Linked DNA regions of Macaca fascicularis. The protein of the gene in region 1 purifies or fractionates together with the protein of each later gene. This does not show direct contact. Links are inferred from orthologs where the notes say so. Each region holds a gene or a part of one and is shown on either strand. Other genes may lie near its edges.

Region 1 (3,561 bases):
AAACTAGCCAGAAGTGGTGGCGTGTACCTGTAGCCTCTTGGGAGGCTGAGGTGGCTGGATCACTCGAGTTTCGGCAGAGCCCTCATCTCACCACTGCACTCAGCCTGGGTGACAGTGTGAGACCCTGTCTCAAAAAAATAAATAAATAAGGAAACTGAGACTCAGATCAAATGCCTCTGACTTACCCTAGGACAAGCACTCATAGGTGAGCTGAGCGTGCTGTTAGGTAGCAGCCGGGGTGCTCCAGCCCCAAAGCCAGCCCTTTGCATGTTCTCTGCCTTCTGGGCACAGTGGCTGCTGGGCGTAGCGTAAGCAGGCGCGTGCTGTCAGGCTGGGCTTCGATGTCTTTTGTTTTTTTTTTTAACTCAGCATTTCTTGGAAGTGTTTCAGCATCAGATGTGAACCCATGTCCTCATTTTTAAGCAACTGTCCCTTACCAGGGTCTCAAACGATGGGCGTTTGTCTCTAGTCCTCCCTGTCAGTGGTGTTGACATCAAATGCTCCTGAGGTTACGACCCTCGCGGGTCAAGCTGAGCTCATCAGAAGGCCTTTCCCTGGTGGTCCCGGGCATGCACGTGTTGGGGTGATCTTTTCAGTGGGTTTTCTTTCTTGGGCCGCTGAAGGTCTGTAATCGCCCTGAAGAACAGCCCGGAGCAGGATGGTGCTACTCTAGTCTCAGGCAAAACGGGGGCTCCTGGGGTCTGTTTGTGACGTGGGTGGTGGGCACACGGGTGGGCCTTTTCTATGGACGTGGAATGCACATTCACCTTGAGTCGCCTCCACTGGGCTCAGAATCCAGCACTCTCTGAGCCTGGGTCCCACCTGGGACAGGGGGCCCCCAGGGGCTGTGTGTGGAGCTGGTGTTGGCACCTGCGCCCAGCGGGCCCATGACCACCCTGGGTTGGAATTGGGACTCAGCTTCCTACTAGCCAAGCGAGCCTCAGTGTCTTTGTAAAATGGCCATACCTCCCTCCTGGGTTTGTCAGGAGGTTAGAGGGGAAGACAAAAGGAATATGAAAGGCGAGAGTCTGAAAGGCAAGATGCTGAGCAGATGGTCAGTGCCGGGACAGTCAGCTGTTCTTGTTTCCATGTTTCGGCAGCAGAGACTCACACAGGGACGGGCGTTAGGGGAAGGGTCTGTATGGAGCAAGGTCTGGGATGAAAGCGGACCTCTGCGTGTTCTTGACACAATGCTTGGTTGGGTTAGGAACATTCACCACCACGTGGCTTTCCTCTGCGTGTTCAACCTGCAGTCAGGTGCTCAGCTGGGCTGGGCGGCTGAACACGGCCCAGGGAACTGCCCCTCGCAGCTGGCAGCCACATGGCAGCCGGGCGAACTGGGTTCAGCATTCCCTTCTAGCGATCCTGATTTGTGTTTATCCCAGCAGTAGCCTCAGGCATCTCTGCAGCATTTTCGTCGGTATCTTTCCTCCCTACGTTTCCATTGGCTTGTGGGTTTTCCTTGTGAGCGCAGTTGGCATAGGGTTCTTAAATACGTGGCACGACGGAGGCCACATCAATGAGGGGGACATCATTATGGGAGGGTGGGCTGGGTGGCTGGGTGACTGCAGGATTGTGGCACCAGCAAAGTAACTGCACCTTTTTTTTTTTGTAGGATCTGATGTTACTGCTTAGAGACGGGATCCCGCTGTGTTGCCCAGGCTGGTCTCAAACTCTTGAGCTGAAGCGATCTTCCCATCTTGGCCTCCTGAGTAGCTGGGATTCCGGGCACACACCACCAGATCTGATTTTAAACAGAAATCCAGTTGGCATTGTAGAGTCGTTTGCATTAAAGCCTTCCTATCGTCAACCACAGCCATGACCTGATGACTTTCAAGCATGTGTCCAGAGAGGGGTTCACAGAGAGGAGTCTCCCTCATGAGAGGGGAAGACTGTAGGTCAGAGATAGGCAAACTTGATCTCTGAGGGGCCAGACGGGCTATGTGGAGATGATTCATACCTCTCTTGTGCAGGCCACAGGCAGTGCGTACACAAGTGGACGTGACTGTGGGCCAGTGAAACTTTATTTACGATGGGATGGCTGGGCATGGTGGCTCACTCCTGTCACCCCAGCACTTTGGGAGGTTGAGGTGAAAGGGATCGCTTGAGGCCAGGAGTTCAAGACCAGCTTGGACAACATAGCAAGACCCCATCTCTACAAAAATTTTTAAAATTGGCCGGGCATGGTGGCTCACACCTATAATCCTAGCACTTTGGGAGGCCAAGGCGGGCGAATCTCTGGAGGTCAGGAGTTTGAGACCAGCCTGACCAACATGGTGAAACCCCATCTCTACTAAAAATACAAAATTTACAGGTGGTGCGTGCCTGTAATCCCAGATACTCGGAAGGCTGACAGGAGAATAGCTTGAACCCAGGAGGTGGAGGTTTCAGTGAGCCGAGATTGTGCCATTGCACCCCTGCCTGGGCGACGAGTGAAACTCTGTCTCAAAAAAAAAACAAAAGAAATTAGCTGGGCGTAGTGGCACATGCCTGTGGTCCCAGCTATTGAGGAGGCTGAGGTGGGAGGATCTCTTGAGCCCAGGAGTTTGAGGTTGCAGTGAGCTGAGATCATGCCACTGCCCTTGAGCCTGGGCAACAGAGTGAGACACTGTCTCTAAAAAAAAAAAAAAAAAAACCAAACAAAACAAAACACAGGCAGTGGGCAGACTGGCTGTGGCTTGCCGCTCCCTGGCCTCTTCCAGTCAGGGAACGTCATGGGCTCCAGCTTCTGCCAGTTCAAGTCATCTTTTCTGGTGTATTTCAAAGCCTCCCTGTGAGTATGGGGTCAATAGGCACAGGAAGGGACCTGGTGTGTGACAGAGGGGTGGGAGGCCCATTCATTCACACACCTCAGGACTTGCAGTGACTTCCTGTGTATTGGATTCTTCCGCCTCTCATTTGCGTCCATGATGTTGAATTCTGACTCTGTTTAAGCTGTAATGTCCACATGAAGCCATTCTAAAATCTCCAGATCCCTCTCAGAAGGCCCAAGGGATGACCAGTTACCATTTTTCTTTATCTTTGAAGGAAATTTCCAGAGCTGTTTGCACAGTTCAAGTCCTTCCTAGGGGTAAAAGAGCTGTCCTTCGCGCCACCCATGAGCGACAGATCCGGGGACGGGATAAGCCGGGAAATCGACTATGCATCTTGTAAGCGCATAGGATCCAGCTACCGGGCACTCCCCAAAACCTACCAGCAGCCCAAGTGCAGCGGGAGGACGGCCATCTGCAAGGAGGTAGCGCTCCCTGGGGCTTACATGTTCGCTGACATGGTGCATCCCCCCCCCCTCCCCAGCAAACACCCAATACCCCCGTTTTGAATGAAATGCTGTGTGCTCAGCCCTCCTGAATGTTGGGTTATGGGTGGTGCTGGGATGTGGCCCAGCAAAACCACCTGAGCAGAGACAACAGTGTTGTACCCTGCTGGTAGTTTTGGCAAAACACAGAGTGTCAGGGATAATGTGGAGTTCACTTATTCATCTGTTATTTGAGTTAGGTTTATTGCTGCCATGATTCTGCTCCGTCCCGGGCTCACTGACCTCAGTGTGTTTCTGTTTAGCTT
Region 2 (4,317 bases), on another chromosome or scaffold:
CAATTTCAAAAAGTTTGACAAGGAAGTACAAGTTGCTGCTGACCACACCAATTTTTGGGATTAGGAAAGGCTATCTAGAAGTGATATTTAATCCTTCATATTTATTTAAATAAATATTATTTATTATTATTTAAATAAATATTATTTAAATAAATATGAAGGAGGAGTTCACAGTTCACAGATTTGCTCAGCCTAATCCTTCATATTTATTTAAATGAAGGATGAGTAGAAATTTAGGAAGGGGATATAATGATACAAATGATTTTGGGTCAGCAGAGTACAAAAATGTTCTGGACAGAGGAAATATGTGTGATGGCTCAGAGGTGAGAAAAATCATGGTGTACTAAAGTCACAACAAAGACTTCTGTAGATCATATGGAGAAGCAGTAGAGATGAAGCTGGAGAGTAAAGCAGCAAATCAGCAATTAAAAAAGATGTTTGGAGTTGTTGAGTTTGGAGATGAAAAGTGACAAGATGAATTCTGGATTTTAGACAAAGCAATCCAACTTGAGAATGGAGAGGAATTTCAGAGGAGAAAAGAAATGAGCTGTTGTCAGTAAGAGTATTTAAATTAGGATACTGGTAACAAGGATGGAGAGACACACGATTATACATGGGAAGTGAGAGCAGAAAGCATGAGGACTATTTCTTGATTGTTTTTTTTTTTGCCTCAGGCAACTGAATAGATGAAGGTATTAATGAAACCAGGAACACTGAAGAAATAGTGACCAATTAAAGTACTTTGAGTTATCAGAGTGAGATGTCCTGTAGGTAGCTAGACAGTACTGGCTGGTAATTCAGAAGAGCTGCTGTGTTCTGTGTAAAAGGAAAAGCAATTCCTGGATGGTGGCTAAAGCCAGCTGGCAGGATTTAGGGGATGGGTTAGACCTGCACTTGTTTTCCTGGAGAAGAGGCGGCTATAAAGTGGCAGAGTGAGATTACTGTAAAATACCTGCATTCAAAGGGCTAAAAAAAAGAGAAATGCTGGAACGGCTACTTGCTAGAAACGCAGCAGGGTAGGTTAAAACAAATCACGAAGCACGGGCGGCGAGGCTGGGGGGCTAACGCTAAGCCCTGCGTGATTTCGACTACACCGACACACAAAAGGGAAAGGGACCCTCCTCACCGGAAGCACAACCTCTGCCCTCTGGGGCATTACACATTCCTCCGCGCCGGAAGAACACGTCGCGCCTCGCCTCGCCCCGTCGGCCTGGCTCTGTCCCCACCTCTAGTGAAGGAGAGATTGCGCCTCTCCCCGACCCCCTACCCAGGGCGAGCCGCGTGGAGTCGTTGGACTGGGCAGAACTTTGGCAGGCAAGGAGAGAAACAGCCACACCGGGCTGCCGGGCAAGAGAAGAAGGAGGAAGGGCCAGATACCCGGGCGTCGCGCCGCTGCGGAAGGATTCCGTTTCCTGCGGGGGCGGAGGGATTTGACAGCACAGTAACTTCCGGAGAAGTCCTGACCCTCAGAGGAAAAGCCTTGCAAGAAACAATAACAAACGGGAGGAGGAAGCGGTTCTGGGGTGTCTGTGTTGAGCGGTTCTTTTCCGCGAAGATGCGCTTCGGCCCCAGTCAGGGGACGTGAACGGGCTCAGTGGGCTTCAGCCAGCTTTTCTCCACCGGTTCCCCACGGGGACCCCCCCCCCGGCCGCTGCAATGGCGGGCGTGGGGCCGGGGGGCTACGCGGCCGAGTTCGTGCCGCCCCCGGAGTGCCCCGTCTTTGAGCCGAGCTGGGAGGAGTTCACAGATCCGCTCAGCTTTATCGGCCGCATCCGGCCTTTGGCGGAGAAAACCGGCATCTGCAAAATTCGGCCGCCCAAGGTACCTCAGTCTGTGGAGAGAGAGGGGGAGAAGGAAGAAGGGGGGAGTCCGTGCACTGGGTTTAGCCTTACTTTTCCGATCCTTCTCTCCTTTCGTATGTACTCTCCTTTATGTTGAGACAACCGGAGCCTGTTTCTGGATGTTTCTGCTTCGGTTTCTTTTGTGGTCTTATGTAGACACGTCTGAATGCGAGAAAGTGGTGTCTCTGGGGTCTTCCGCCTAGAACTTGGGAACTGATACTTTTCTCTCCGCTGTGGGCCTAAAGCCCTTCGTTAGCCAATATGAGGTTTAATTAAAGTACATTCTTCCCTCACGTATCCTCATTATGGTTTGATAGTCGGCTATCTCTATTCAAGACCTGATTGGATCAAATATTTGCAGGCCTCCTCTCAGGGCTAGGGTTTCTGAAAAGGTAATCTGAGCTCTAGTTCCACCAGATGGTATTATAGACATAGAACTCCAGACTAATCATTGCTGCAGTGAGAAAGTCTTACCGGGGAAAGAGGAGCAGCAATAATTCTAAAATTGAGAGGTTTAGGAAGAATTCATCTATAATGGAGGCGGGAGGAAATGTTGAAATCTCTTGACATAGGGAACTCAAGATCAACGATTTTAGAATCACAGTTATTGCAGATAACTAGGTTTGCCTATAAGGTTAATTATAATCTCAACATTGAGGTAAGGAAAGTAGGTACTATCCCTTGTGTGGAGGGGATTAATGCCCCAAGAGATTGAGTGAGATGCTCAAGGTCAAAAGGTGTTTTTCTTTACTCATTAGATCAGTGCTTTTTAAATGCTGTTGCGGGACCACTTGCACCTGGGTCAACTGGATGCTTATTTAAATGCAGATCTCTAGGCTTCTTGTGGAAGTTCTGGAATCTGCTTTTCTAGCAACTAGTCTCAGATGATTCTTCATGTAAGTTGAGGTTTTCGAACCATTGCTTTAGTCATTGCTTCTTAAAGGCATTTTGCTTTATGTTTTGTCTAGTATTGGTAATGATAAAATATTAAGCACTGTTAACCAGTGTTGCATTTTAAAAAGCATCTGCCGTCACCACTGACTACCACAGTGATAGGCACCGCAGCGAATTAAAAACTTAAATGACAGCGAGGAGGAGCTAATTTAACACCTATAGATTGTTTGCTTTAATCTTTGAAGCCCTGATAGGTAAATGAAGTCCACCTTTTACAGATAAGATTAATCTGGATAAGTTAAAACACCAGATGGGTTATCTTGGGCAAGTGGCAAAGTATATTTTGAACCTAGATCGGTTTTTCTGATTCTGAAACAGACATAATGCTCCATGTAGAATGAGTTTAAGGTTATAGACTATTCGTTGCAAGCAGAGGATTAACAAATAATTGCTGTGATGATATGCATTGCCATCCTCCAAAAACTTCCATTTAACCCTTTTTTTCTATCATAATTACCTAATATTAACAAATCTTAAGCATTGAAGGTTTTCCTAAGTCGTATTTTCATCTACTCTTGAATTTATTAATTAGAAATTCTATTCACGGTTACTTCGATTAAAAAAAAAGTTTTTTTTAACTTAAAAAATGTTGAAATAATGCTTTCTCTTTTTTTTTTTTTTTTTTTTTTTGAGACGGAGTCTCGCTCTGTCGCCCAGGCTGGAGTGCAGTGGCGCGATCTCGGCTCACTGCAAGCTCCGCCTCCCGGGTTCACGCCATTCTCCTGCCTCAGCCTCCCGAGTAGCTGGGACTACAGGCGCCCACAACCGCGCCCGGCTAATTTTTTGTATTTTTAGTAGAGACGGGGTTTCACCGTGGTCTCGATCTCCTGACCTTGTGATCCGCCCGCCTCGGCCTCCCAAAGTGCTGGGATTACAGGCGTGAGCCACCGCGCCCGGCCAATGCTTTCTCTTTTTATGTCACATTATTGAAAATAAATCTTGTTTACAATCAGAATTTAATTTTAGTATTGGCAAATTTCTTTAGTTTCCAGGCTGGAGTGCAGTGGCACGATCTTGGCTCACTTCTGCCTCCACCTCCTGGGTTTTTTTTTTTTTTTTGACTACTCACGTTTTAAAATAGGTTTACTGTTATTCTGTTATTTAGGCCAAATCAAACTGTGTTATTTAGACCCCACTTGAAATATGCTATCTGATTTTAGTTATATCACAGTCTGGAAACTGTCCTTGTTCTGTGTGTGTGCTTACTTTTTTTGTTGTTGAATATTTGGGTTCCCAGAAGCTGGGCTTTGAACAAAACTTTTGTGTAACATAAAGTGCTCTGTCGCGTTACACATACAGTACAAAAGAAAAAGTTTAAAAAGTTTATTTTTAATCTTTAATTTTACCCTTTTTGGTTTTTTAAATTTTTTGGTGTTTTTTTTGATCTTGGTAAACCTGAATGTTTACTAGACACCGTTTTGTGGTACATGACCTCATTGAATTCCACTTGAGTAACTTGGGAAAGCATAATTGTGGGAGATAAACAGTGGGACTGGTTTGAAGAGGATTGCTTCTCTGGGTA
Region 3 (4,016 bases), on another chromosome or scaffold:
CGGGCACCGTCACGACACTGGTCCGGCCCGCGGATCCCTTGGCCGCCGCAGTTGGCCTCCATTACCCTTTCCCGCGCCGCGCCTCCCCGCGGGGAAAATGAAACCTAGTGCCCTCAGGTTGAGACACAGGGTGGGATCCACTGTCTTCTCACTTAGCCAAGAGAAAAGACAGAACCGACTTCAGACAGCAAAGGGGTGTGTTGCCCTGGCCGGGTCGCCTGCGGCCCCGCCCCGGCGCTCTCCACCTCCTTCGCGGCCCGCCCTCTTGGCGCCCGCGACTACATTTCCCAGAGGACGCCGCGGCTCCGAGGGGCGGGCCCGTCCGCTCTCCCGCTCACGACCACCGGCGACTGGCTGACTCGGCAGGGGGCGGGGCCTGCGCCAGCCAATAGACGGGAGGCTCGTTACGGCGGCGGAAGCAGCGGCGCTGGAGTGAGGGGTGGGGGGCAGAGTGCTAGCTCCCCGGCGGTGGCTGCGGGTCGGGAACCTGGGGACGTCGGCCCCGCAGACAGAGAGCGCGCGGGAGCGAGCTCAAGGCGGCGCGGCGGCCACTCGGCGCAGCACCCAGGTAATGGCGGGACGGGAGCCCGGGAGGGAAGGGGAGGAGACGAGGGGGCGGGGCGGCCGAGCCGGGCTGCAGCGTCCGTCCCGTTGCGCGTCCCCGGGGAAGGGCAGAGGATCCTCGTCTCCTGCAGCTCGGACCGCGGCTCTTTGGCGAGCTGGGCACGGCAGTTGGGCCGGCGACAGGGGCTGGGTGTCCTGTGGCGAGGAAGGGAGAGGCACCGGGAGGGGTGGGCTGACCCGGGCGTGGGGGCGTGGCGGACGTGGGCCTTGGCGGGGAAGCAGAGCGGTCGGGGGAGCGCGGGCGGGCGGGCGGCCCAGGGAGTTTGGCTCCTGGAGCAGTTTAAAGTGACTCTCCACATCCGGGCCCTGCGCCCGCCGCTTTCAGACCCTGGCCAAGGCGGGGCCTCCCCGCTCCCCGCCCCCCTCGCCGGGGGCGCCTGTCTTCCTCTGCCATTGGTTCAGCCTCGAGGGGTTTGGGCTGCCCCGGCCAGGCTCGCGCCTGATTGGCTGGCGGTCGGCGGGAGGGTGGGGCGGGTCCTGACCGTGTAGGTCGCTGTGGATTGGTCCTGGGCCTCCACTGACGCGCCGGGCGTGGGGCCAATGGGCGGGCGGGGGAGGCAGGGGCAGGTTCGGGGGAAGAGGACTGCGAGCACAGCGGCGGCCGGGTGTTGGGGGTGAGTGGGGCCAGCGGGGCTGGACAGCGGCGGGCCCCGGGCGCCGCCGCCGCGATCCCTCCCCGCGCCCCCCGAGCGCATCGCCGCCGCCGAGATGGGCCCTCCGCGGCACCCCCAGGCCGGCGAGCTAGAAGCGGGCGGTGCGGGCGGCGGGCGGCGGCTACAGGTAAAGAGGCACAGTGCTCGCCTTGTGGTCGGGTCCCCAGAACGCCCGTCCGCACCCCTACCCCGGAGACGGGGATCTCGCACTCCGAGGTGTCTGGAAATCGGCGTCCTCCCATCTCAGCGGGGGCTTCGCGGTGGGGTGGGGTTGCGGGCGAATCAGGGGAGATCGCTTGGCTCCTGGGGGAAAAGTGGGGGACGATTTTAGGGAAGATGGAGAAGGTGTAGGGTCCTCTTGCTCTGTGGGGGTCTATGAAAGGGAAAGAAAAGGAAATCCGTAAATGGAAGCCTTTGCAGAAAAGCGTTGGAGAATTCCTTTTGCATCAGGTCTGAATGTAAAACATCCGATCCTTTCTTAGGGCTGGGTATCTTCCTCCGAATGTTCCTATGACATGCTAATCACAGTTCTGTTCACCTTGGTGTGAGGTTTGAGTGTTTCGAAGAGACATGCCATTTTCCATAAAACTTTACACAGAGAAATACACATGCATTGTGGTAATACCTGTCATGTGACTCTTGTACAGGATTCAATGGTGATTTTTTTAGCATGGCAATCCACAAGTATTTATGGAGGGTTATAGTACACGCCAGCTCCGTATAAACGATATTGGTAGAAAACTTAGGTAGTTTAGATAATGTCTGCATTTATATTGATCCTACGTTATTGTTTTTAAATAGATGATGCAACATTTGCTTTTCCGAGGGACTATCTCATAGGTACTAAAGATGCTTTAATTTCTCAATATTGATTCAGATCTCAGAATCTAGTAATAACCATATAACTGTATGTACTGCAGGTGGAAATGAGTTCTCAACAGTTTCCTCGATTAGGAGCCCCTTCTACTGGGCTGAGCCAGGCCCCTTCTCAGATTGCAAACAGTGGTACTGCTGGATTGATAAACCCAGCTGCTACAGGTGAGATATGTAATATTCTAATATATTTCTTCCAACTTTACGAATATTGCCAGTTTTCTAACTTAAAAATTAGCAGATTCCTTCTAGGATTTTAGTAAATTCTTATTTCTTGAATTTGAAGAAAGGGTATATTACTATTCTAATTTAAACAAGGCTTTTTTTCTTCCTGTTTTAACCACGTCGTTCACATAGAGTACACATGCAACTTACAGCGAAGCATGCCTGTAAGAACTATTTTTGAAATGCATTAATATATTCATGTTTAATTAATGTCCATGAGTATAGCATTAGTGCTGTGAGGGAGCCCAGAGTTGTTTAAGGAACAGATCTTGCCTTTTAGGAGTTTATTATCAAGGAAAATAAGTGGAAAACAAAGGATATGCAGTTTCCCTATGGTGTCTGTGGGGGATTGGTTCCAGGACCCACCTCAGATACCAAAATCCATGTTGCTCCACTTTGTGATGTAAAATGGTATAGTGTTTACATATTACCTGTATCTATCCTCCAGTATACTTTAAATCAGCTGTAGATTACTTGTAATGCCTACTACAAAGTAAATAGTATGTAAATAGTTGTTATTCCGTATTGCTAAGAGAACAGTGAGAAGACAAAAAAGTCTGTATGTGCTTAGTACAGATGCAACCATATTTTATTTTTCCCCCTGAATATTTAACATCCAAAGTTGTTTGAATTCACATCAGGGAACCCATGGATACAGAGGGCTGATTGCATACACACAGATAAGACTTGGTTTTTCGTCTCATGCCCTTTGAGTGCTAGAAATCAGTGGTTCTCAGTGACAGGTGTTTGGGGAGGTGGTTTTTCCTGCAGGGGAATACTTGGCAATATCTAAAGACAGTTTGGTTGTCACAACTCAACAGTGCTATTGGCATCTGGTAGGTAGAGGCCAGGGATACTGCTTCACATCCTACAAGATAACGGGAAGCCCCCACAACAGAGAAGTATCCAGTCTAGTCAGCAGCGCTGAAGTTGAGGAATTCCTTCAAATACTCTTTTTCGCTACGTATTAAGTAAATATGTGACATTGCAAAGTGGAATAAACTATTTTCTTTTTTTTTTTTTTTTTTTTTTTGAGACGGAGTCTCGCTGTGTCTCCCAGGCTGGAGTGCAGTGGCGTGATCTCGGCTCACTGCAAGCTCCGCCTCCCGGGTTCACGCCATTCTCCCGCCTCAGCCTCCCAAATAGCTGAGCCTACAGGCGCCCGCCACCACGCCCGGCTAGTTTTTTGTATTTTTAGTAGAGACGGGGTTTCACCATGTTAGCCAGGATAGTCTCGATCTCCTGACCTCGTGATCCACCCGCCTCGGCCTCCCAAAGTGCTGGGATTACAGGCTTGAGCCACCGCGCCCGGCCATGAATAAACTATTTTCTATTCCTTTTTCTTCACCACTCGATTCTGGTGTTCCTTATGGTAAATGATACCACTGTCTACTCATTGCTTAAACCAGTAGCTGAGGCTTATTTTTTTGCAACAGCATCTCATGCTGTCATTCAAGCGGGAGTACAGTGGCCTAATCACAGCCCACTGCAGCCTCGATCTTTTGAGCTCCCCAGCTTATTTTATTTTATTTTACTTTATTTTGTTTTATTTTATTTTTTTGAGACAGAGTGTCACTCTTTGGCCCAGGTTAGAGTGCACTGGCTCTATCTCAGGTCCCTTCGGTCTCTGCCTCCTGGGTT
Region 4 (4,199 bases), on another chromosome or scaffold:
CTGAGCCACAACCCACACCCCAGAGGGCTGCTCCAAAGTCCTCCTCGAAATTGGTGCCAACGGCAGCAGCTATAATGACAGCCAGTTCACACAGAAGTGCCTCTGTTGATCACCAATTAACAGTAAAATCTGATAATATCTCATTCCAAGGTTGTCATAAGCACTAAATGTGGTTTTGTGACATAATAGGCATTTGTTTCTCCCCATTGCTTCCCACCACAATATATTCATCAAGACTTTTCCAAGGATACTAAGTCTAGGAAACCCAGGATCATGAAGAGAGGACATGCTCTTCCAAATGAGGCTGAGGAGAGACTTGTCTGGCGAGGCCTGTACTGACTAGTGACATTAGAAGAGGCGATCTGACTTCTCATACTGCGCTTGTCCCAGGCCCGCTGTTTGTCAACTGCTGGGTCCTCAGAGCCAAAACTGTTTTCCAACAGTTTTGAATTGAATAACAGCCAGTTATTCAATTTTCTCCACATTCTCTAATCGGTATACTCTTCAGAGTCCAAGGGACTTGCAACGATATTACCCAATGGCTGAAGAATGTGCGCTTGACATCTTAGGCTGTAAAATGTCTCAATTTCAATTTCTAAAACATAAATGTCAGTGGATGGCATTTTCTGAATCCCTTGTCGATGTCCGTAAATGGCATGCTCTGAATTCAACTAAACAAAAGTATGGGTTGGGGGGAGATGTAGGGGCATGTCCAAATTATAATTTTTAAGAGTGTAAAGGGGTCCTGAGAAAGATTGCCAGATTTTTTTTTTTTTCTTGAGTCAGAGTCTCACTCTATCCCCCAGGCTGAAGTGCAATGGCATGATCTTGGCTCACTGCAGGCTCTACCTCCCGCACTCAAGAGATTCTTCTGCCGCAGCCTCCAGAGTAGCTGGGATTACCCCGGAGCCCGCCACTACTGAGCCTGGCTAACTTTTGTATTTTTAGTAGAGAAGGGGTTTCACCATGTTGGCCAGGCTGATTTCGAACTCCTGAGCTCAAGTAATCCGCCAGCCTTGGTCTCCCAAAGTGCTGGGATTGCAAGCGTGAGCCACCACGCCAGACCTGGATTGCCAGATTTAGCACATAAAAATACAGGACTCCCAGTTAAACTCCTCTCAGATAAACCATTATTGCATGAAATTCACTCACGCTAAAAACAATTGTTCGTCGTTTACCTGAAAGTCACATTTCATTGGTCCTGCATTTTACCCCGCAAATTCTAGGCCTGACACCAAAAAGTTTGAGAACCGCGCCCCTAGGCGACAGCAAGCGGAACTACCGCAAGCTCCCAGTAATTCCGGGTGCTGCACTTCCGGTCAGGCGGTCGGGCTGCGCGGCCCTGGGGCCAGCTCACCGCCGGAAGCCTCCGCGTCCCCGCCGGCCATATCCCGTTCCCGGTCCTGCTTCCCAGTGCCTCGGGCCTCCCGGGGCTGGTGCTGGGCGCCGAGCCGGCGGAACCGGCGGAACCCGCTTCCCGCCTCCACGCGGCAGCGCTAGCGGCCTAGTCCCTTCACGGGCAGCTCGGTGCTGTCGCCCTCACTGCTCTTCCTATCGCCGGGAGTGGTGGGCCGACCAGGGGGCGGCCGGGCTAGCGTCCGCCATTCCCGTGTCTCTGCGCCCGCGGGGGCCGCCCGAGCCGGCCACCATGCCGCTGGGCCTGAAGCCCACCTGCAGCGTATGCAAGACCACGTCGTCCTCCATGTGGAAGAAGGGCACGCAGGGGGAGATCCTCTGCCATCATTGCACTGGCCGGGGCGGCGCGGGCAGCGGGGGCGCAGGCTCGGGGGCGGCTGGAGGGACTGGGGGCAGCAGCGGCGGTGGCGGCGGCTTCGGCGCGGCGACCTTCGCCAGCACCTCCGCCACTCCTCCGCAGAGCAACGGGGGCGGGGGCGGCAAGCAGGTGAGCTCCTCCGGCCCCTCCCGCCGGCGGAGGCCGACCGGGCGCTAGGCGGCAGGGGCCGGGCGGGTTGGGAGCGGGCGGGCCCGGGCTTCCCGGCTCGCCGTGGTCCTGCCGGCTGGAACGCCCCTCCCCACCTCCTACTGAGATCTTTGGTTTGACCCATTCCAAAGCACCTGTTATAAGAAATTCAAAGCAATAAGAACCAAAATGTAAAGCCCTTAAGAAAATCTCAATATGCACACGTCTACACAGTCGTAAACAGGGTCATGCCACAAGTGCAGGTGCTGGACCTCATTGCTTGTTAAAGGTTTTGTCATATCAGGTTATGAAGTAAGATTATTATGTCATTATTGTAAATGGCAGCTTAAGTATTCAGTTGTAGGAGGCGCCATAACCTAATACGTTATCTGGCCTTAGGGAGTAAAGTTGTTAAGTGTTTTTCTCTATTGTAGACACAACAAATGAATAGTGTTTGTCTTGGCCCAGACTGACTCTTACTTCCGCCTCCTGACTTATTACAAGCAGCTCACACCTTTTGGAGGCTCTGGAGACGCCTATCCAGCGAGCTCCGAGATTCCGGTGCTGAACTTCCGGTTTTACTTAGCCCAGTTGCTGAAATTACCTCTGTTGAAAAGCAAAGGCGCACTCTTAATTGTTAAATACTCCTATAAAGTACATACTCTGGGATCCTTGTAAGATGATTGTATTGCAACCTGTATACACTTTTTACTTCTTTCTCTGTTCTTTAATTTGTTTGTGTAACAGAGTAAGCAGGAAATTCACAGGAGGTCTGCTCGGCTCAGAAACACTAAATACAAATCTGCTCCGGCTGCTGAGAAGAAAGTTTCCACCAAAGGAAAAGGGAGAAGACATATATTTAAATTGAAAAATGTAAGATATTTGTGGACAGTGCCTTTTACTGTAATGATGTTGTGTGTATCCTGCCACTGCCTTCATTTCCCGCCATTGAACTTGGACTCTGCCCTTGGTAGCCCTTCCTTAGTATTCTGGGGAGTGGTCCAGACTCCCCAAAAGGGAATGAGCTCTGTTGCAGGAGGCTCACTATTTTTAAAGGTAATAATACTCTTTCCTTTTTTTTTTTTTTTTTTTAGCTTTTATTTTTTTCCCCTGGAAAATATAAAATATGAGTTTAAAAGAAACATCAGCCTTGAGCCCATTTTTTGGGGTTCTCTATGGAAAGGAAGAGGAGAGATTATGGTTCTTGATATGGCCAGGTACACTAAGAAAACTTTTTTTTCATTCTTTAAAAATTAAGTAAATATTAACACTAGAACTCATCATTTGCATATTTATTTATTATTAAAGCCCCAGAAAATGTATCTTATTGACTTATGATGATGATGTATTTGATGAATATGAGTCAAAAATTCTGCTAAGCCTTCTCTCTTCTACTCTAAGAAAAGACATTGTTGAAAGACCTGTGCTGGAAATAATTGAAAGCATATTTTTATTGCAATTAAATTATCAGTTTTTATAAACAAGGGATAATGTTCAAACACAATGGACAGTGCATTATGGACTATTTTTTTAAGTCTCAGTATGGTATTCTTTTCTTTCAGAACAGGAATGTTTCACTTACCCGTAAAGACATTTTTGAAGTCGGGCATATTTATTTCTAAAACACAAAGGGACCCTGCAGTAGACTTATGCAGATGGCAGACTATTTTCTTTTTTTTTTTTTAATGTAATTTAATTTAATTAATTTTTTAAAATTTTACTTTAAATTCTGGGATACATGTGCAGAACGTGCAGGTTTGTTACATAGGTATACATGTGCCATGGTGATTTGCTGCACCTGTCAACCCATCATCTAGGTTTTAAGGCCCATGTGCATTAGATATTTGTCCTAATGCTCTCCCTCCCCTTGCCCCCCATCTCCGATGGGCCCCAGTGTGTGATGTTCCCTTCCCCAAAGTATTTTCTTTTTCAGAGTAGTTGCTTCTAATTTATTTAAGATTTTTATAATTTAGTTAAGCAAGGCATTTGTTGATTATGCAAAATATCTTATTGGTATTTGTATCACATATGCACATTTTTTTTCCTTTTAAGTATAGTATACCATGTTCTCAGCAATTAATTCATTATCGTTTGTCTGCAACCCTTTCTTCAATGTTACTAAGCAAGACACATCTGGGGAGGCCTACTTTCTATGTTGTGGCATAAAAGTATGTATTGAAGCTTTAGTAGGGATTTCAAAAATGGTTGGATGGTAGCAAATTACTAAGAACTGTCAAAGTTTCTAAAGCCTTAGTTCCAGCTTGCTAGAAAACCGACG

Evidence for each region.
Region 2: the proteins of SIN3B (region 1) and KDM5A purify together in Homo sapiens (affinity purification with mass spectrometry; 4 studies listed by BioGRID and IntAct, with this or other methods). This does not show direct contact. The link is inferred for Macaca fascicularis from reciprocal best matches to the Homo sapiens genes SIN3B and KDM5A.
Region 3: the proteins of SIN3B (region 1) and SAP130 purify together in Homo sapiens (affinity purification with mass spectrometry; 3 studies listed by BioGRID and IntAct, with this or other methods). This does not show direct contact. The link is inferred for Macaca fascicularis from reciprocal best matches to the Homo sapiens genes SIN3B and SAP130.
Region 4: the proteins of SIN3B (region 1) and GATAD1 purify together in Homo sapiens (affinity purification with mass spectrometry; 5 studies listed by BioGRID and IntAct, with this or other methods). This does not show direct contact. The link is inferred for Macaca fascicularis from reciprocal best matches to the Homo sapiens genes SIN3B and GATAD1.

Annotation. Positions count from the first base shown.
Region 1 is NC_088393.1:17,188,482-17,192,042, forward strand, and holds part of SIN3B (paired amphipathic helix protein Sin3b), read left to right. Parts: intron 1-3,027; coding exon 3,028-3,235; intron 3,236-3,558; coding exon 3,559-3,561.
Region 2 is NC_088385.1:1,144,365-1,148,681, reverse strand, and holds the start of KDM5A (lysine-specific demethylase 5A), read left to right. Parts: upstream 1-1,468; 5' UTR 1,469-1,656; coding exon 1,657-1,821; intron 1,822-4,317. UniProt on the Homo sapiens protein: Histone demethylase that specifically demethylates 'Lys-4' of histone H3, thereby playing a central role in histone code. Does not demethylate histone H3 'Lys-9', H3 'Lys-27', H3 'Lys-36', H3 'Lys-79' or H4 'Lys-20'.
Region 3 is NC_088386.1:3,499,608-3,503,623, forward strand, and holds the start of SAP130 (histone deacetylase complex subunit SAP130), read left to right. Parts: upstream 1-1,189; 5' UTR 1,190-1,332; coding exon 1,333-1,404; intron 1,405-2,197; coding exon 2,198-2,315; intron 2,316-4,016. UniProt on the Homo sapiens protein: Acts as a transcriptional repressor. May function in the assembly and/or enzymatic activity of the mSin3A corepressor complex or in mediating interactions between the complex and other regulatory complexes.
Region 4 is NC_088377.1:128,909,956-128,914,154, reverse strand, and holds the start of GATAD1 (GATA zinc finger domain-containing protein 1), read left to right. Parts: upstream 1-1,371; 5' UTR 1,372-1,648; coding exon 1,649-1,903; intron 1,904-2,668; coding exon 2,669-2,794; intron 2,795-3,015; exon of another isoform or gene 3,016-4,199. UniProt on the Homo sapiens protein: Component of some chromatin complex recruited to chromatin sites methylated 'Lys-4' of histone H3 (H3K4me), with a preference for trimethylated form (H3K4me3).